Linked DNA regions of Caenorhabditis elegans. The protein of the gene in region 2 purifies or fractionates together with the protein of the main gene of each other region. This does not show direct contact. Each region holds a gene or a part of one and is shown on either strand. Other genes may lie near its edges.

Region 1 (10,567 bases), 1.5 Mb from region 2:
CTGAAGATATCGAATATGTTGAGGTAAACCTTTGTTATTTTCGTTCTTCCCGAGAACCTCATATTACAGATTCCGGCCGATGCCAAAAACGTTGACTTGACGCGTCACCGTATCAAAGAAATCGGTGATTATTCGTGGCTCACTCACGTCGAACACTTCTCGTTTCGTTGGAATCTGATCAAAAAGATTGAAAATCTGGATTGTTTGACAACGTTGACTCATCTCGAGTTTTACGATAATCAAATTACAAAAGTTGAAAACTTGGATAGCCTCGTCAATTTGGAGTCACTCGACCTGTCATTCAATCGTATCACCAAAATTGAAAATTTGGAGAAGTTGACAAAACTGAAGACTCTCTTTTTTGTTCATAACAAAATCACTAAAATCGAGGGTTTGGATACGTTGACTGAGCTGGAATATCTCGAATTGGGTGACAATAGAATTGCGAAAATCGAGAATCTCGACAACAATCTGAAACTCGATAGATTGTTCCTTGGCGCTAATCAGATTCGTCTTATTGAAAATGTTGATCATTTGAAGAAGCTCACAGTTCTCAGTCTTCCAGCCAATGCGATTACTGTAGTTGATGTATAGTTATTTCTTCTTTCTAAATACCACTTATAAAACAAAATTTCAGAACATTTCGGGACTTCACAACTTGAAAGAGATTTATCTGGCTCAAAATGGCATCAAGTACGTTTGTGGAATCGATGAGCATCTTCCTCTTGAAATTCTGGATTTCAATCAGAATCGTCTTGAGAAGGTCGAGAATATCCATCAATTGAAGACACTTACAGACTTTTGGGCAAGAGGAAATAAGGTAATATAGATCATTTGATTACATTCCATAACTAATCAATTCTTTGTTAATTTTAGTTGGATAACTGGAGCATTATGGATGAATTGGTTGAACTTCCACAACTCAATAGTGTTTACCTCGATTTCAATCCAATTGCATCAGTGGATACTTATCGTGGAAAGGTTATTCATCTCTTGCAACAAATTACTCGTCTTGATGGAACTCAGTGCCGTGAGGTAATTTAAAACTTAATTAAATTAATCTTCAATTTGTTTTTTAATTTCAGCATTCGATGCTCCGTCCACCAAAAGAAGAGAAGAATGAGACAGAGCTTTCGCGTGTTGTACTTGATAATCCGTCTGATGATCATCCCACTGAGTCCGTCTAATACTTGAACTTTAGCATTTATTCAACTAGATGAAGATTTCTTGATTATTGATATTTTATTAAACAAGGAAGCCGGAAATAAATAAAATAAAAGAGGGAGCGATTTTGAATCGGGGGTTGTTGAAGCTAAAACTTAATAGGGTAATACTGGTAATAGAGAATAAGGGGAAGTGTCCCAACCAATGGTGTATTTCATCAACGGAAGTGAATATCGTGGTGGAAAATTGAATGAATTGAAATCAGACGTGTCAAAAAGTCAAATTAGTTTGATGATTTTTACTTTTTCAGCTCGTCGAGGGCCTTTTGAAGTACGTCGAAAAGAACTGATGGCTTCTGGAAGTCGTTGTCGACGAGAGTAACCAAACGGAACTCATCATGAACAGCCTTGATGACTCCATATGATTTAGATTCTTTTGGATAAAAATCTCCCCTAAAATTAAACAATTAGACAGAACGAGTGATTAGATACCTTACCATTGGGCCATCCACATTTGGTAAGCTTCATCTCTCCATGCGCGGAAAGAGAGTGGATCGACGACTGTTGGCTGGGCAATCTCAGATCCTGGGAATACTCCCCAAGTAACTGCAATCGGAGTGGTTTCTTCGCTGTTGGTCTTGTCGAAGGTACTCTGAAGAAGAATTTATTTTATGGTTTTTAAAATTACTTTTTAAACATACATCCTTATTGATGGCATGGTAGTTAACTCTGACTGGGAATTCTCTCTCGATGATTTGAATGAGCTTGTCGGACAACTCCGCGGTCATGAAGCATTCGAGGTATGCCTTTTGGTAGCAGTAACCTCCTGGTTTTCCCCACCCAACAAGTGGATCAGTGGATGGAGCTCCATTAACTGATGGCTGACTGTTGACGGTCAGAATTCCATTCTCATTACACCAAACAAGTTGTTCACTGATCAATGAAGTTTCTGGCTGAACACCAGTTTCAGCTTCTGTCCATGGAAGTACAGTAACCTTGACGCCATCGGCGTTTGGAGCTTGAGTAATGTAGTTGATGAACACGCGCTTGACGTCTTCAAAACTCTCGATGTTGGCTCCGAACATAGCTAGACGGTCATCGGCGTTTCGAACAGTCTGAAATTTTATCTGTGAGAAAGTTCTAACACAATCTTTGAACGAACCGTCAAATTAGACAAGTAGTAGCTGCTGACATCTCCAAATGCTGGCGATGAACTGTTTCCCCATCTTCCGTTAGGGAATTGATCCCAATCACGAGTTCTGGTGATGTAACTGCGTGGGCGGAAACTCCAGTAAATTGGACGAACACTTTCCAGACATCTGATAGGATGTTGCGAACGATTTTTCCATGGGAAAACACGATCACCCTCGAGTTTCCAGAGACCAAGAGATTTGAGAATTTCACGAATACTTCCTTCACGATTCATAGTGTATAGATGGATGGAAGGGGCAGTTCCATTGTCAAGAAGACGGCGGCACATTTCAATGCAACGCTCTGTTCCGTACTTTTGAACAGCATCATCATCGTGCTTGATTGGTTCGAGATCATCAAGAATATGTTGTGGAATCTCAAGTTGTGAGAGTTTGGCAATACGTTTGATAGACTCATAACCCATAATTGGCATGATTCCCGGAATAATTGGCTGAGTGATTCCAATTTCACGGCAGTCGCGCACAAACTTTTCGAAAGTTTCAGCCTCAAAGAATAATTGAGTAATGACGAAGTTTGCTCCAGCATCACATTTTGCCTTCAAGTACATAAGATCAGCTTTGTAAGACGGAGCTTGTGGATGTCCAAGAGGATATCCTGCGCAACCAATTGAGAAGTAGTTTCCATATTCTTCGCGGATCCAGCGGATCATATCAAGTGCACGGAATTGATGGGTATCTTCGAGCTCAGTCTAAAATTGAAAAATATTATTTAATTTTTTGACAATCTTGTTTCATGATTAACTTACGCCCGGTGGGAGATCTCCTCTCAAAGCAAGAATACTTCTCAATCCCATTGCCTTGGCTTGCTCGAGATGTTTCAAAGTATCAGCTTTATTGTATTGAACACAAGTCATATGCAACATAGTGTCGACTCCACAATAATCAAGCATTGAAGCAGCAATCGAAGACGATGAAGTCACTTTATCGACGTTAGCTGGATCACTTCCCATATGCCATGTCATATCGACAAAGACGGATCCACCTTCGGAAAGACGTTCAACACGCTCTAAGAAGTTTGGAACTCCATTGACAAATCGAGGTGGGAAGAATTCAAGAGAGAAGAATTGTTGTTTCTCATCGATAAGACGTTCAATTCTCTCGTGAAGAAGTTCATAATGCCTGAAATATAAATTTGTTTAGTAATAGCTTTATATCTGATCAAAACTTACTTTGGTGACCAGCTCTTTCCAGATTCCAGAGTTATCTTCTCCTCGACAACCGCATTCTCATCGGTCTCAACACCACTGAAATTCAAAATATTATATTATTCGATCAAAAAACCTGAATCAACAACCCACTTTTTACTTAAAACGGCCATTTCAACTAGAGTCTCCGAGGAAACAAAATTTGTTAGCGACAAATGAAGAAATGTGGCAAACAGGATTCTAAGGGCGGAGTGTTATATATCTTCTCCAGAATCATCATGTGATTCGATATGAATCTCGGGAGAGATCTAGGAACGTAACAATTATGATTTGGACAACTTGTTCTTTGATACTGACACAGTAGGAAAGTACTTTTTTTCAAATTTTTCAGAACTTCGGAAAACAAAAAGCTGATGTTGAACTAATACAGTGCTACATCGAAATAATAATTCACTATCATCAATGATATATTAGCTTTTTCTTGTTTGAAATTTCGGATCGAATAAATTATTTCCCTGTATTTTTCCTTGGAAATTTCTTGCTTGGTGTCTTTTGTTCCACTTAATAGAGAGATACTGATCAAATTGTCTCCTAGAAGGCAAGAAAACACGGTTAGATTTAAATTTGATAGATCAGTATTCGATCTTTTCCGAGTGCAGAGAGAATAATGTGTCGCAGAGGACTAACAAACTTTTTTCTGATAATAGACACGTTTTGTACTCTGCCGTGTTCACCTTCATTGATAAGATATTGTGGGGTGATAAGAGATGAAATCATTAGCAACGATAAGTAATTACTATGTTTCTAAAAGTCAATTAGCTCATTTTTGAAAAAAATACTATTTGTGATTCAAAAGGTTGCAACTTGCAAATATTTTGGACAATTCTAGTATATAAATGCACCATGTTTCTCCGACATTTTTCGTTAAAAATTAGTTTTAAAATATAGGAAATCAATCGATTTAGCTGTAAATATAGTTTACTTCGGATGATAATTTTGAAAAAGTGCTTAAAAATTACTTGGAAGTTGCAAATTGCCGATTGTCGAATTATCAAGCTTTGTTTTTCGGTAATTGGCAACTTTCAGGTCATTTTCTGCATTTTCTCATATGTTTCTTTTTTTTTAACTAAACATTCTAACTTTAGCCATAATCAGCGTGCTTTTTTTTTGAAAATTTCAAGTTCTTGAAATTGAACAGAAATTGTATTTTTTTTTTGAAAGGTTTTCACTCTCAACAATATAAAAATGCCCAAATCACGTGAATATCAATGGTATCCAACAGTTGACACTGATAAGAGATCAGTTTGTGATCGCAGTGGGACAAATGGGTGGTAGACATGTCTTCTGATAAGATAGAGGTCAAGTAGGTAGAATTGGTAGAAAGGAGGCATATTTCAGTGCTTTTTTTAAAAGCATTTTGAGACATAAAAAGATGCTCTAAGTTTAGAAGATTAATATAAAGAACCTACCAATATGGCATTGTGGACAGAGAATCGATCTTCTTAATGGTTCCATGAGATTCAATAACTTTAGTTTCTCCAGTATTCGTCATTTTCCTTGGTTCGTTTTAACCGTAGTTATTCTCTGTCGGGAACCACGAATCCGTTGTTTGATGAGATTCACCGACTGAAATTTGCTCGTATTAAGTCCGATTCTTTTATACAATCAGAGAAAAGGGCGGAGCGTTAAGGTGGCAAACGGTTGGTAAATTGGAAAAAAGAGAAGTCATAGAACTATCAATGTCCGCTAAATGTTCTTAATCTAAGCAAAAATGACAAGAAAATGAGAAACAAACGTGCTTCTGGCATAAAACCACTTGTTTTGTTCAATATTTATATAGAAGGAACATAGCATGCTGGGTCTCTCGTTCTCTCACTAAAGCGTTCGTCGTGGCACTCAGTGCACTTTTGCATACATGAAGCAATACACATTCTCAGCGGGGCGCCGATTCCTTCATAGAAATCGGATTCTTACAAAAGACAAAAAAGATAAATCGAAACATTTTTTGAAAATAGCGGTATTTGAAGCAGAAAAAGTGAGTGGGGAAGTCTTTTAATTTGATAACAAATGAGTATTAACAATATTTTGGTGCATGATGACCTGTGAACGATTTGGTTGGGTTGTTATCGGGGCAACAACAATAATGTTTTGCCAAAAATTTGCCAAATAGTTCAACGTGGAACTTCTCTTTGTTTGTCTTATGCAGTGATGTTTATATGGAGATGCCAGTGCCATGTTGTACGGTACCTGACACGATTAAAAATATGTCAACAAAAACAAGTGTACGCCTTTAAAGAGTACAGTAGTTTCAGCAGTTTGCTGATTTCTTAGTTTTTTATCGTTTCCTGTTTTTTAAGCTTCAATTTTTAATAAACAGTGAGTGTGAAAACTAAGAAAAATTGAACAACGGTACTCCTTAAAACCGCACTCCTCTCCTTTCACTGAAAATTATTGGCCGTTTCGAGACCGGGTACCGTAATTTTTAAACAGCGAAATTTAGCATTTAGGTATTTGCTCTATTATTCAACTTTGAAAATTCTGTTGTTTTCTCAAAACAAAATTTTTTTTTTGTAGTTTTTATAACATATTAAATATTTTCTGATATCTGCAGTCATATAAGTTATTTGGTGCAAGAGTAACTGAGAAAATACGGATGCGTTCTAGAAAAAAAGGATAAGTAAGAAAGTCGTAGATAGTTACTATTTGATAGTATCTCAAGAAAGAATGGGAAACTAAGCAAGACCTTGAACTAATCGTCATTTGAAGAGAACTTTAGCATAGTACGTTTTCAAACGAAAACCACAATTTCTCAATACTGCCTTCCCATCACAAACGAAAATTTTATCCTATAGGATTAAAACCAATTTTCAGTAGAACTACAACAAGATTCTGAAAAGTGCACTCAATGCTTTCACGAATGGGCTACAGCACAAGATGATAACTGTATGAAATAATCATGTAATGCACGATATCAGGCCATTTCAATTGGTCTTTTGCGGCGATTTATCACTGGTGATAATTGGAAGTTGGACAGATAAAAGTATAAGATTGAAAAGATTGAACCAACAGAGATTAATAAAATAACAAAAGTCGGAGATGATAGGCAACTCAGCAGCAAATTTAATTTAATTTTCAAAAAAAAAATTCATGTAGTATAATTTTCATTAAAAAAAATGGTTAGCAAGGAAAATGAAATGATTATGTTTCTTCGTCTTCAATAACTTCCAGCTTAATTTGACTTGTCAACTTTTTCAAATGTTTATCCGTAGCCTCGACTTGTCCATGCCATGCGTGCAGTTTGTTGGCCCATTCATCACTGATTCGAGGTTTCACTTCAACTACGCTGGCCGATTTTCTGTTCTTCTTGTTCGCAGGCGATGTGAATGATTCGTCACTGAATAATTTAATAATTTTTAATTGAAGAAAAAAACAAAAATCTTCACTTACATTTGGGAAGCAGTTATCGGAGCAGAAGTTTGTGGGATTTGTTCTCGTTTCACTTCAACCAATTTCGCATTTGCACGTTTTGGTGCCCGAATTCTTGCAACTCCCGATGTTCCCTGCTTGCCTACTTTACCGCCCAATGAATCTTCAGGTATTTCAGGCTTTATTCTGGCAGCATACTCATTTCGTAGAACTTCTTCAGCCAATGCATTATCGTCTAATAACTCTTCAGGATTAACTGTTGTCGTTTTTCTGCGTCGCCGTTGTCTTACAGGGCGATCAATCGGGCTGTAAAAATAGGTTATTATTTTGGGGTTAAACTGTAATTGCTTACATTGGAACCTGAGCATCATTATCATCCAAACATTCCTGGGCGATGTCACCAAACGTTCTTGCGGTAAGATGTTTGAAGTTTTCTGCAAAAGTTGAACGCTGACTTTTGAAAAAAAAAAACATATTTTCGTGTAATAAATGTACCTTCCATGTTTGGATCAAGATGCCTTCTTTGTCTAGTGTGTTTTAGTCCTTCAGCATATGCTTTACTTCTCAAAGTTGATCTGCTTGAACCAGCTGTTTCCTCTGGAGCGCTACTAATTTCTGGATTTGTTGGAGAACTTTCGAACTGTTCTTTATATTTTTCGACAATGCCCTTGATTTCGTGTAATGGTGATTTGAGCCCCGTTAGAGTATCACTTAGTCCAAGTTTTTGCTTAGCCTCTGTGTAAACTCCGTGAATAAATGATAATTCCGTCATAATATCAGAACTGAGCATTTTCGTAACACTGGAAAACGGCTCCTGAAACTGTTTATGAAAAAATTCCAATAATTTAACTTACTTACAACTGGAATTTTGTTAAAATAGGGCAACTCTTCCTCGGCAAGGTATTTTTTGTGGGTTGCCGGATCATATGTCGACTGAAACACTTTAATTCTAAACGCTTTCTTCAGAATAAGCATTTTGAGAGCCGCAATTGGTTCAAGAAGTTTTTCGACTTCTAAAGATTTTTGAAATTCGAGAAGCTCTTCGAATTGTACCGCAGTGACCGGAATCTGAATTAAATTTTTTAAAACTAAATTAAACTTAGAATTAATCACCTGACAGACATGATCAACTGGCTGCAAATTGTACAACGCATAGCAAACATAAACTCCGAATAGCCTCTCCTGAAAATATAACATTTCAGACTTATTTTTACTTCTATTTCAAACCTTGAATGCCCTGAATGCTCCAACTTCATTCACTTTTCCGAAATACATTGCTGCGTGTTGTAACAGGTATTCAGTAAACTGAAAGCCGGAATATTATAATAGACTAAATAAAATCAAAATAAAGCTACCTCTAAGCATTCGGCAGGATTTAATCGATAATGAAGAATGGTCTCAAAATGCATATCCCGAAAAACATCAGCAAAGTCTCGAATTCTTAATTAATCAAGATTTTCCATCAAATAATACATTTTCTAACTATACCTGTTGGATCCCATAGATATAAACTTGTTGCACAATAAATGAAGATCTTGTTTAACTCCAGTTCCCATAAATGGCGTGGGAATACCTCCAGAAGCCATTGCGACTCGTTTTTTCCTTGAATCTTCAGAAATAAATCCGAAAATAATTGACGAAAATAAAAACATGCAAGTGCGCTCTATCGTGAACAACCAATTCTCGGCGGGAACCAGCGGTATTCAACGCATTTCAAAATGAGTTGCGCCTCAATTTACCTAAAAATATTGTTTTTCAATCGTTTTGATATAATTTAGCTCAAAATATTCCCATAAAATTAGTTTAAATATATTCGCAATCAATTTTACGCTTTATTAAAACATCAAAAGCTATAGATCTGCGTGAAACGTTCTTATAAATCGTGTTGCCGTGAAAAATATTCTACTGATCGTTTTCTATCGAAACATTTTCATGTTTTCAGAAGAATCGAACTTCAATCAGTATGCCTGACGACGAGGAGAAGCTCCAATTACTTGCTGTAACGTTTTATCATTTCATCTATTACCAACTAAACCTAATATTTCAGGACGTTGAGAGGCTCAAGAAAATTCTCCGTCAAAAAGATGAAATGCTCGAGGAGATGGAAGACGATCTCAAAAATCAGGGAAAACCTTGTTCTTCCAAACTTTCACTCGAAGAACGTGCACAAGAATTGAGTGAACAACTTCGCGATCTTCATGTTGAGATGGACGGAAAAAACGCCACAATTCTTGATCGGGACGCTCTCATCGATTCACTGCGTAGTGAGATCGACAAACTCGAAAAAATTGTAGGTTTTCATCATTGTGGGCAACATTAATATATTGAATTCTCAGAATAAGGAGTTTGCCAACGGATCAGTGATTCCCGAACATGATGATTCCAATTCCTTCGGAGAATCTGAAATGCTTCGTATTAGCGAAGATTGTCAGAAATACAAAGAGACGGCGACTGCTCTTTACGAACGAAACGCCGAACTCGAAAAAGAAGCGGTCAACTTGAAAGATGAAATTGAGTCGATGATGGATCATATTCGGGACCTCAAAAATCATATGGAGACGCGTGATGAGGAAATTGCCAGATTGGAAGGAGAGCTTTTTGATGAGAGAAACTCCCATGAAGGAAAATTAGCGGCACGCGGAAATTCAATGTTTTCTGAGGTAGGTTAAAAAATATCAATTAACTGCATTTTTTTTAATATTCTTCAGGTTATTGATGCCGAGCGGAAGGTTGAAGAAGACCTGAAAGTTCTTCATGGAGAGAATCGAGCACTGAAAGGGATGGTAAAACGTCTTCGAATGGAAGTAGAAGAAGTCGAAGAAAGACTTCGGTCATCCACAAAAAGATTCAACGTTACCCGAATGACCACAAGTGATATTGATGTCAAAGAGATGCGTCGTCTCAGAGACAGAGTTTGTCACCTGGAAACGGAAAGGGTTCATTTGTGGGAAAGAATGTTCATTAAAATGAGGTCAATTCCAAAACGCGAAGTGGGAGCGTTGATTACCGGCTACTTCAAGTCGTTCGAATTGTCAATTGCGAGCGTGAAAGGAGGTTTTGACGGTTTGATGAAGGACAACGAAAAGTACGTGACAATTATTCGTGGATTGCAACAGGAAGTAGAAAATCTCAAAGCGGACATTGTGCAACTACAATTCGACAATAAATGTGCTCACAGAAAAGCTGCACCAGTTGTCAATAAGGATTTCGAGCACCCGCTTCTTGCTGCTCCTCTGAAAACTCTTAACAATGGACGACCATCATTCTTCATTAAACCGAAAAACGTGGAACCCATGCCTCAATTAGGGCATTCATTATCCAGTATTGCCGTTACGCCACAGGTAGATAAAAGTGCAACTTTTCACTATAAATAATTATTTTTCCAGAAACCAGCAGCTAAATTCACCACTCGTTCCTCCATCAAAGATGATACTTCAGAATGGGCAGAACGTCGTATGAAAGCTCAAGCTGAAAAGAAATTGGCGACTCCGACGCCGCGTTACAACTATATCAAACTGTCCGAGCCCGTTCCAAAATTCAAACCGGCTGTTCTTCAAATGCCATCAACCTCAGAAACAAAGGAAAACTGAGTAAACATCATGTTCGTAGTCATCTCGTATTC
Region 2 (10,567 bases):
TTATAATTGGGATTTTAAAGTTGGGCAGCCCACAAGTTGGGCGTGATTTCTGAAGCTCCGCCTCTTTTCACTCATATTTCAGTCAAGATGTTCTCTTTTTTCATGTTACAAATATATGAAGCTAAGAGTGTGGCTTACCTGCATCGTCATCAATTTCCTCGTCTCTTGAACTTGTGGGCTTCTTTAGAACTTCCTTTGATACCAGGCGGTATGTTGCAATCACAATGTCAAATGAGCCAAGGCTCTCAGGGGTCAACTGTCCACTCTTGTTCCCAGTATAAACGAAAATCGAAATAAAATCCGGAGCTGCAAGATGTTTCACTTCTTCTACCCAATAGTTCACCAAAATCGGTGGTACGACTATAAGAGTGTTTTCCAACGGACACAACCCATGTTTCTTTGCAACATCTACTCGTTTTTCATCGTTCCATACTGTCTCCTGCCGTTTTTGTTTCATTTCCAGTTTCCTCTGGATAATCAGCGCAATCATGGATCGTGTTTTTCCCAGCCCCATCTCATCGGCTAGAATTCCTCCAGGTTGGGCTTGAATTTCTCGCCACATGAGCGAGTTGAGCGAATCTTTTTGATGTGGCATCAGGTTGTCGAGGAGACTGTCAGGGGCTGTCATAATGAATGTATCGCTTGTAGGAATTGTTAGACAGATGCTGCAATGATGACATATAAACATTGGAAAGACACTTTATGAAAGTGTAATTAAGTTTGGAAATTAAATACGGAAAATTCCTGTGAAAATAATTTTTTAAAGACTTTTACTCAAAAAAATGCACTGAGCCCATCGTCAGGCTGTCCAATTACGGTTTGATCTACAAAAAAAATGCGGGAATTTTCCCCCCAGGAAAAAAATCATCTCCCGCATTTCTCGAAGATCAAAACAAAATGAGGCACTTTTACACCACGTGACGAGCCCCAGTTTTTGTGAAAAAGCTACGAACTTGGTAAAATCTTGCAAAAAGCGATCAAACATCAGTTTAATTAGCAGAGCCATTCCAGTAACCTAATTCTTTTGTCATAATAAATTCCATTTTTGGTTGTACATAAAAAGCGAACAATCAACTTCATTATATTAAACTAAAGAACACCAGATCACATAAATAACACAATAAAGTGAACAAATAAAATACCCATGGCAATAAACAATTCCTATAAAAATTAAGTATACTATCCCCACACATCCTCGATGTATTGATCACTCTTTTTCAGATCCATAAGCTTCTTCTTCGCTTCCAAGTCCGGAATTCCTAAAAAAGTAAACAATAACCATTGTAAATTTCCTTTTTTTAACCTACCTTGATCACTGGCAACAATATCCGAGAAACATTGCCAAACATCTTTAGACATTCCTTTTGCGTCTCCACAGATGAAAATTTTCGACTCTGTCGATGCTGTCAAAAATGGAAGAACCTTGTCGAGATATTTTCTTAAGCCATCTTGAACTCTTTCACCCTTTTGCTCGCTTTCACAGATGATTAGATCAGTGAGGATGCCTTCGCTTACAAACATTTCAAGTTCGCTCCTGAAAATTCAAACTACGTTTTTCTTTCACGAATCAAGGAAGGACTTACATATAAATTGCATCTACAGAAGAATCACGACATCCAAAGAAGAGAACACGTGGAACATCGACAAAGTCCGATGGAGAGTCTTGTTTCAATTTTCTGGAAATTAAAAATCAATTAGAAACATTAAAAATTGAACTTATTTTACCTCAAAAAATGCAGGAATGACAGAAATACCGAGACTCCAGTTCCTGGTCCAACCATCAATAATGGCAGTTTTCCAGCCGAATTCTTTGTCATTCCAAGAGGTGGAAGTCTGAATCTAGCCGGTTCCTTTCCCAAAACTTGAACTTTATCTCCAATTCTCAAAGAATTGAGCCAATCAGTTGCGAGTCCTTTTCTCGAATGTCGACGTCCATCTGTTGCTGGGAATTCCATTTCCGAATAGATCAGACGGGCTTTTCGGTTTTCATATGATGACATACTGTACGGACGTGGGATAAGCCGTGGAAGAAGTTCTGAAACGTAAAAATTTGTAAAGAAAGTGTTAGCAACATTGTTGTTCTTAAACTTTGAAATTTCAAAAAACTTAAAATTCCGCTCAAAATGTAGTTTTTTTTAACAACTTCTTTATTTAGCTTAAAATATCGGTAAAAAATTTTAATTTTGTTTTAATAACTGGATAACGTTTTTTTTTATTTAAAAAATCTGCAACGTCAAATGAATTAGAATAATGAACCTAACTTAAAATTCAAGTAATTATTTTTATTTATTTATTATTTTTTCAACTAAACAACTCACCGATTAGTCTATCAACCGGTGGCTTCACATTTGGAAATGCGAAAAGCATGTCAGCCAATGACAATCCGGGTGTTCTAACAAAATCGGTGAAATCCTTCATTCCCTGAGCACTGCAAAGCTCCAAAAGCCGTCTTTTCTCATTTGGATCAGATGTACTTTCGGCGAGTACACGAATCAGCGGCTGAAGAAAACTACTTTTAATTTTGATTCATAAAATATGAACTCACTCTTCCTGGAGCCCGACGAATGTCTAGACACGTGGTGAACATATGACGGAGAGTTGTAATTTTGTGCACGTGTCCCGGAATTTGAGCATTGATTTTCTCAGTTTTCGGGTTAATTGAAAGCTCGCATTGTTGATCAGCAATGTCTAAAACTCCGCATCTTTTAAGGATAAAATTGACTTCAAGTGCTGGATTTGGAACACAAAAATATATGGCATCTCCCGGCTCGTATTGAAGTTCAGCAGCATGATCTGAAAATTAAAAAATGATTTTTTACTTCCAAGAAATTATAGCAGAATAATTCCAATTACTTCAAATTTTTTAACGAATCAACTGATTTTAACTGTTTTCTTCAAAAAAACCCTACCTCCGAAATCGACAGTGATCATCCGTTTCGTTTTAATTTTCTTGGAAAATGGATCAGTCACAAATTCAGCAGAGACTACAAGAACTTCGAATGGTTTCGTGACGACTCCAGGCATTTTGCACAGGTTTTGCCATTCCAATTTGGTATCTTCTGGTAGTTTTCGATTAGAAACCGACGAGACGATGAAAGGTTGAGGAGCAATTGGAACGCGCAAATTTTCATCGTTCGAGAGGGTTTGCGATCCTGTAAGTTAAGTTTTGATTTCAAATTTTTGGAGAATGTTTCTATGTGTGACACTTGACAAAAACAGTTTTTTTCAAAACTAGAACTGATTATTCCACTTTCAAAACGGTTATTCACCTTTTAAAAGAGAAATTTCGGGATAATCATAATGCTCGGGAATCAACATATCAATTCCAATAACTCTTCCTCTTCCTTCATCATCTGATTCTTCATCTTCTATTCGTTTCTGAAGTAACGCTTTCTTTTCTTCTTCAGTCTTAACTTGATTCAATTTCAAGTTTGATGATTCCGTAATTGCATTCATTTTGTCGGCGGAAATGTCGAATCTGGATGCCAGTGTTGCAAAGAATTTCTCGATCCATGGTTCAACTTCTAGTTCAAGTCTGAAAGAGGAATTACATCCTCTGAATATAAAATAAAACCAAACCCCACTTGATCGTCTGCTTCTGCACGATCAAAAAGACGATTTGCACCGAGAGCTGTCAGTTGTTTGTCAATTTTTCGAGGAATCGTTTGATAAGATGAATAGTTGGAATCGCCGAGACCTGGAAATAGTTCCTTTTCAGAATAATTTAAAAGTTAATTTTTGAGTTTGCAATAATAAAGTGCAAGAACACAAGACATTGAACTTCTTATCAGAATGATGATTAGTCATTGGCTTTTTTGAATTTTGATTTCTCTTTTTTCAATTTGCGGTTTTCAAAACTCTCACCGAGAAGAACGTAATCCAGATTCTTCAAATATTCGTTTTCCAGTGAATTTCTATTAATTCTTCTCACGAAACGTGCACAATTATCCGGTGCATCTCCATCGCCAGTTGATGAAACGACAATTGCACACAGTTTTTCTTCATTTAAATTGAACTGAAAAGTTAAATAAATTAATTTAAATTTCCAATGATTATAAAAAACAAATTGTTAAAAAAAACGTACTTTCTTCTCATTTTCATCCAGAGCGTGAAGTCTTGGCGTTAATCCGATTAACTCTGCTTTTTCCTTTAAACTTTTAGCGATAGTTTCCGCTTGCCCAGTTTGTGAGCCAAAAGCAATGAGGAAATCTGTCATTTCCTGAAAATCGATTTATTGTAGAGAAAATTTTAACGCAGGCAACGTATAATTCTGGCGGAAAAGGACATTATATTGGTCAGATTGTAATCTTGTCTGTTCAACAAGACAATGATGGCAAATTGTGATCTTTCAAAGATTGAATAACACTAACATTATCACTGTTTTTCCATTTTTTGTTAAAATTATTGTATTCAACGTGTCTCTCTTTTGGAATGAGTAAATAGTTTTTATTTTTTGAATCATGGCAACTATAAATTCTTTCTAATCTTCATTTAAAAGAGATTAGTTCTTTTTTAATAGCCGAACAAGTTTTGCATCATTATTTTTATGACGAAATATGAAAAGTGCAAGTCGGGCGCGTAATGGACGAGAATTTTTAAGGGGAAAATTTCAAAGTTGAATTAAGTTTTTGAAATATTGAACGGGAAGCTGTAAAAAACATTTTTATTCGAAGAAATACCTAAACAAAGCAAAAAAGTAAAAAAAAAGTTTTGAAAGCAGACAATCTGCATTTTTCCGTCATGGTGACTGCGGATCGTGACGAGACCTGAACATTTTCCGAAGCATGCTCCTTTAAAGTTACGGTATTTTGTTTCTGTTTTGTTTTTGAATTTACTTTTCGTTTTCAAGTTTTTTCTCTAATTTTGAATCATTTTCCCATATTTTTCAATCAAATTTTTATATCTCCACACTTTTATGAGTCTCTAATTCCTCTTCCGATTGTTTTCATGTCGAAAAACCTGAAAATCTGCCGTGCCCAATCTCAAATTTCTCCCTCTCCATTCGTGTTCTCACTGTTCCGATCTTCCGTAGCTCTCACTGTTTATATAAACAAATTGTCTGCGGCGGAAAGAGACGTCGGCGAATATCGTCAGCCCGCAAGTGGCAACCTCTCCTCTCGAATGTAAACATATCCAATACACCACTTCTTTTTTTTTCTATGTCAAGTGCTATCAAAAGTGATGAAAAGAAACTGGGAAAAGACATGTCTTCCCGTGAATCATCCAGTTCTGTTCCGGAGTAGCTAAACGTAGGAAATGCACTTTTATAGCTGAAAAAGCTGTATAAATCTGTAATCAAAATTAATTTGAATGTTTTTTTCAGTCCTCGTAGATACTTTTTATCAATAACAAACTCGATACGATTCGAATTTCCGCCCACAAAACAAAAACGGCGGTAATTGGGTAGTTGTACTGTAATTGATATATATGAATTGTGGGAGTGTGTGTGTGTGTCACAGAGCCTATTAAAATCAAATCGAATTAGAAAACTCTACAGAGAGAGCGCGTTCTTCTTATCAAGACTAGTCCTCGACAATTGATGTTGCTTCGTCATTGGCTGCAGAGAAGGGGGTTTAAACGTCGATTCGACCTTGTTTGAATTAGAAATCTTCTGTTTCGTCTGCCGTCGTAGTGTAACAATGGGCTCAGATTCGGCAAGGAGAAAGTTCGGCGCCGCAAGATTTGAACGATGTGGGTGGTTACGGATGACAATTATTTGAAAATTCCTAATATTAGTCAACTTTCGAAAGGGTTAGTTAGAATAAAATATCATATAAAATTTTGATATCGATTTCTTTAACGTGCATTCCGTGTACAGTTTCAAAAAGTCCAAAAACAAAAAAATCAGGTCAAAACCTTGAACCCTCTAGTTAATGTAAAATAAAAATTCGAAGACGCACGTGCAAAAACACAGCAATTGATCGCTGACTGGTTCGAAGGGGTTGTGTCAATGACAAGAGAATCACGAGACCCTTTTGATAAGAGAAATGATGATGATGGTGTCTTGAAGAGGGTTAGGGGCAGCTGTTTAGTTGGAATAACACATCAATATGTGTACAATTCCTCTAAAACATGTGTCAAAGATTACACATGAAAAGAAATAAAAATTCGAAAAATTGTTTGTCTTAAAATGTTTTTATCTGAAAAAGTTCCGGAATAAGTCACAAATTAGAGATCAAACAAATTTCCGGATTTCATTCATTTTTCAATATTCAAATCAGCAAACGAAAAATTCGAATCTATTCGAACTAGTTCAATTAACACCCCAACTAATTTTGGCAGTAATCGTCTCGAAAAATGAAGGCACGACGCGGAGAACTGGTTTCCTATTACTAAATATGTCAGGGTTACAGAAGAGAAGAGACAAGGGCATTCCGTTCCGTTGGTTAGATCATTATCATCAATATTTTGTTTTTAGTTTATCAAGAATTGTTTATTTTAGTTTTGGTTCGCAGTAATAACGGGATGTGGTTTAGACTTCGAAAGTTACGGTATCTTAATTTAAAAATGACGTCAACTAGACTATTCTCTAATTGGATAGAATTTAGTCAACGGGTTTTAGAAATCAATCAGTAAATTATCTCAAAATTCGTCTCTACTAGAAATTTTCAATTTGAAAATTATAGTCCAAGAAATGAGATACAAAAAATTCCTCCAAGAACAATTTAAAAAAATAGAAAAGGGTACAAATCCATTCTATTTACGATCTTTTCTACAAATTTCTCCCATGCACATAAAGCTACAGTATGTCGGTTGATTTTCTAATGGAGACGGCTCTTTTCTGACTTAAAAGTTGAGAGAAATATAATTTATATTTCTGACTACATCTAATAGTAAGAAGCTTGAGAGCGCTTAAAAATTAGAAATTACTAAAATAATTTAACTTTTTAGTAAGTGTATGCTTTTTTCGAATAATTTAAAATAAGAATTACTCAAAAATTGTAAGATATTTAAGCACAAAAACTCTTTTAGTTAAACGAACAAAGCACTGTTATACATAAGCATGTATGTATATATCTATATAACAAAAATGTACTATAGACTCAATGTTGAAGGGAAGGAAAGACACAAGGGCAGGCCAGTTCGTTTCGTAGGCAATAGAGACTCGTTGCGGCCACCTCTCTCTTGCAAACGCTATTTCCTCGCTATCCTTCACTTACACACTCGCACATAAGAGACCGCCCGTGTCTCGAGTCTCCACTTTTTACATGCTCTTTCATCAAGTATACGGTGTCTGATGCATCTCTCTGGTTTCTCTCGTCTATTGATTGAGAAATGTGTGGGGATAGGGGGCGCAGCACGACGAAAAACGAAAAAGCGACGTTAGAGAGATGGAGAGTGTCTGTGGTTGTGTGTGTGTGTGCCTCAACCATCTTCGGCAGAATTTGTTGAATAGACATTTATCTCACGTTTTTTTTCGTAGATTTGAAAAGTAGATTTTTTCCGCTAATTTTGTTATTTTATGAGAATCTTTTAACATTTAACTACTTACTTTTATAAATTCCGCGCAATTTTCGTTCAGAAGTTCAACATTTTGGATTTTAGAATAATGATTTTTAAAATAACTGAAATACAATACAAAATTCAATTTATTTTATGTAAATTTAAATATTTTAGTTCAGAATTAGAAAAAAAAACATCAAAAATAATCCAATTTGTTTTGTTTTTGAATTTTTATTAATGATTTTTTAATATCATATAATACTTTTTGCGAAAAGAAATGTTCGTTATTTTCTAATTTTCAGTGCCCTTGGTCTTTTAATTTTTTATAAGTAGTCAACTATTATATAAAATTCAGAAAAATTTCCAATTTTTCATTATTCGTTGCTAATGAAATTTTAGAAAAAGAAAATGTCACGAGTAGTATATTTTCAAATTTATTATGCATATTTTTGGAATTACTAATGTGAAATTTCTTGGTGTTTAATTTTGGTCACTTTTGGAAGTTAAATGAAATTCTCGGAATCGTGACTCAACTAGACTTTTTTTTCAATCAAATTAAATAATTTCAGTGGTCTTTGTTTTGTTCAATTATTCCTTCAAAAAGTTATGAATCATACTTTATGAAAACAAAAAAGAAAAAAATCAATTAGTGACACCTGGCACCAGTTTTTTCCAGCTGCTGAACAGATTCCGTATTTTATAGTTTTTTTTTCAACTTTTTACGGAAAACTATTGACGAAAAATATGAAATAATCAATATTGTTCTGTAAATTCCTCATTTTCTGAACAACCTACGCACAATTTACAATTTTCAATCCAATGGGGATACTGTAGAAAAGGTTTCTGAACGAAGGAAAAGAATGTGAAAAAACGGGGAAAACATTTCGCAATCATCTTTTCTCTCTCACTCTAAGAGTTCGTTTTCTTTTTTCTTTTCTCTCGCAAATACACACACACACAACGACACATCCATTATTTCTCCCCCACACACACAATTTTCCGCTTTTTTCCTGATGCTCCATTGCTCTTAGCAATTTTCTGCGTGTGTGTGGAAATTATCCAATAATTTTATGAAAAGTAACTCTATCAATTAGCCCCACGGACTACCAAAATTTCTTGGCATTTGCCTGTCATAAATGTATTTTATGGGGTCGCTGAGCAGCACTTTTCACCAATTTTCAAAGCCCACTTTGTCCAAAAAAGGCAGATACTGTAGTTTTATGTGAAAATTGAAGAAAATTGGAGAAACATGCTCTGCTAGACTAGTATTATCTACTTTTTTTCTAGACTACAATTTATTTTACGATTTTTATCTATTTTTGGCTCACGTTTTCTTGTTTCCAGGCAACTAGTTATTTTGGGTTTTTTTTCGTATTTTTGTAGACTTGTTGTGGAGATTTTGAGTACAAAAGTTGAAATGGAACATTAACTATTATTTATTTTTCAAAAATTTCCAAAAAAAAAGTGTATTTTTCATCATGAAAAATGTTTTCAAAGTTTAATTTTCCTCTATTATTTAAATTAATTCATTTCAATTTTCGACTCTCGAAAATAATAATTTTTGTGTCAATTTTTTCTGGTTTTCCTCAGCTCACACCGCTTTTTTCTCGATTTTTTGGGCTGTCCTCTAGGAAAAAAAACTTTTCGCAACCCATTTTTTTCATTTCACTTACCCTAACTCTCCATATGTCGTCTCCCGTCCGACACCAATATTGACATAAACTTTTTTCAAAAACTAAAGTACACAAAAAGGGTCCAGTCATTCATCAACGAGGGAATTGAAATCTTGAGAATAAAACCTTGTAGCTATTTTTTGAAATTGGAAATTGTTTAAAAATTCTCATATAGTTCTGAGATATTTTACTATCGTAGAAAAACGTTACAATTTTTTGAGACTTTTTAAAAATTAACAGTAAAAAATCAGGTAAAATAGTTTTGGAAGCCGACCAAAAAACCCAAAATTTTTTGAGAAAAAATCTAAAATTGTTTTATTTATTATGATCACTTTCGATTATTATAATTATATTTCTACAAAATCCCCACTACTCCACCTTAAATAAAATGAACATATCTTCAATTTAAAATCAAATACTTTGACACCTTCATTTTTCCATTATCAACTACAAAAAACAATTGTTGTCAATCTTTTTCTACCGTTTTCCGTCACTTTTTCAATTGACAGTCGACCGATTTATTTTTTGATCGATCGATCGTTTTTATTATCTATTCGATAATATGAATGATAATATCGTGCCTGTCCGTCTCTCTTTTTTCACTTACTTATTCTTCTATTCATTTCTGCAGCTGATAGTAATTTGGCTTTGAAAACGGAAAAAAACTATAGACAATGTTTTTCTTAATTTAAAAATATTTCTGGAACTTTTTACTTAATTTTTTAGCTAATCAAAAAAACTATAATTTTCACGATTTCAATTTTTTTTTTCAAAATTTCTGAAGACCCAGAATAGCGGCCGAAAGATCACATTTTCTTTCTATTAAAACTTGATTGAACGATAATTGTACTTTTCACACCACTGATTGCCTTTTCTCTCGTGATTGAATTTGAAATTCCTTTTATTGATTGTCGATCGTATTTCTTTTTTTTTTTCAAATTTCTCCACCTTCTCATTATTAAAATAGTTTTTTTTTCAGTAAAAGGGAATGCGCTGAGATTGTCCATACTTACCCTAATCACACAAAATTCTGAAAAATGACAACGGTGCGGCTTCATCTGCGTCGAATTATGTGCAATTCTAGTCGAGCACAAACTGCTCAGCATACTGAAGAAGAAAGGAAACGAACCATCATTTCGTAAGTTTTTAAAAAATTCATGTTGTTAATAAAAATGTTTGAATTTTTCAGATTGCAAGGTGGCAAATCGTTTGGTCGAGCTACAACCAACGATGTGATTTTTCTTGATGGAACGGAACATGTCGAATTGGAGTGAGTTTTCTTATTAAAGAAAAACAAAATATTATTCATAAAAATTCTTATAACGTAAAATCCAAAAATCTCAACCCCTTAATCAACTTTTGTGATTCATAATGTTGAATCCAATTTCACGTCGCCCCTCCCGTCGTCTATCCCATAGCAACCAACACAGCCATGATTTCTGTCTCGTATT

Evidence for each region.
Region 1: the proteins of mtrr-1 (region 2) and mthf-1 fractionate together in Caenorhabditis elegans (co-fractionation; one large-scale study listed by BioGRID). This does not show direct contact.

Annotation. Positions count from the first base shown.
Region 1 is NC_003280.10:7,772,679-7,783,245, forward strand, and holds mthf-1 (putative methylenetetrahydrofolate reductase (NADPH)), read right to left. Parts: upstream 5,146-10,567; 5' UTR 5,072-5,145; coding exon 4,989-5,071; intron 3,828-4,988; exon of another isoform or gene 3,693-3,827; coding exon of another isoform or gene 3,673-3,692; intron 3,619-3,672; coding exon 3,544-3,618; intron 3,494-3,543; coding exon 3,121-3,493; intron 3,064-3,120; coding exon 2,326-3,063; intron 2,279-2,325; coding exon 1,865-2,278; intron 1,816-1,864; coding exon 1,661-1,815; intron 1,617-1,660; coding exon 1,463-1,616; 3' UTR 1,230-1,462; downstream 1-1,229. Other genes in the region: C06A8.6 (U2A'/phosphoprotein 32 family A C-terminal domain-containing protein), read left to right, coding at 1-23, 70-588, 638-820, 877-1,035, 1,086-1,187; snpc-1.1 (snRNA-activating protein complex subunit 1), read right to left, coding at 6,718-6,913, 6,967-7,251, 7,298-7,379, 7,441-7,759, 7,804-8,013, 8,059-8,127, 8,173-8,250, 8,301-8,385 and 1 more; Spindly-like protein spdl-1, read left to right, coding at 8,909-8,944, 8,993-9,235, 9,282-9,605, 9,654-10,286, 10,332-10,535.
Region 2 is NC_003280.10:9,279,627-9,290,193, reverse strand, and holds mtrr-1 (Methionine synthase reductase), read right to left. Parts: upstream 4,220-10,567; 5' UTR 4,217-4,219; coding exon 4,085-4,216; intron 4,016-4,084; coding exon 3,865-4,015; intron 3,698-3,864; coding exon 3,580-3,697; intron 3,536-3,579; coding exon 3,270-3,535; intron 3,153-3,269; coding exon 2,910-3,152; intron 2,794-2,909; coding exon 2,546-2,793; intron 2,500-2,545; coding exon 2,319-2,499; intron 2,036-2,318; coding exon 1,726-2,035; intron 1,677-1,725; coding exon 1,584-1,676; intron 1,535-1,583; coding exon 1,308-1,534; intron 1,260-1,307; coding exon 1,180-1,259; 3' UTR 1,062-1,179; downstream 1-1,061. Other genes in the region: Germ layers disorganized gldi-3, read left to right, coding at 10,154-10,254, 10,306-10,386. UniProt on the Caenorhabditis elegans protein: Involved in the reductive regeneration of cob(I)alamin cofactor required for the maintenance of methionine synthase in a functional state.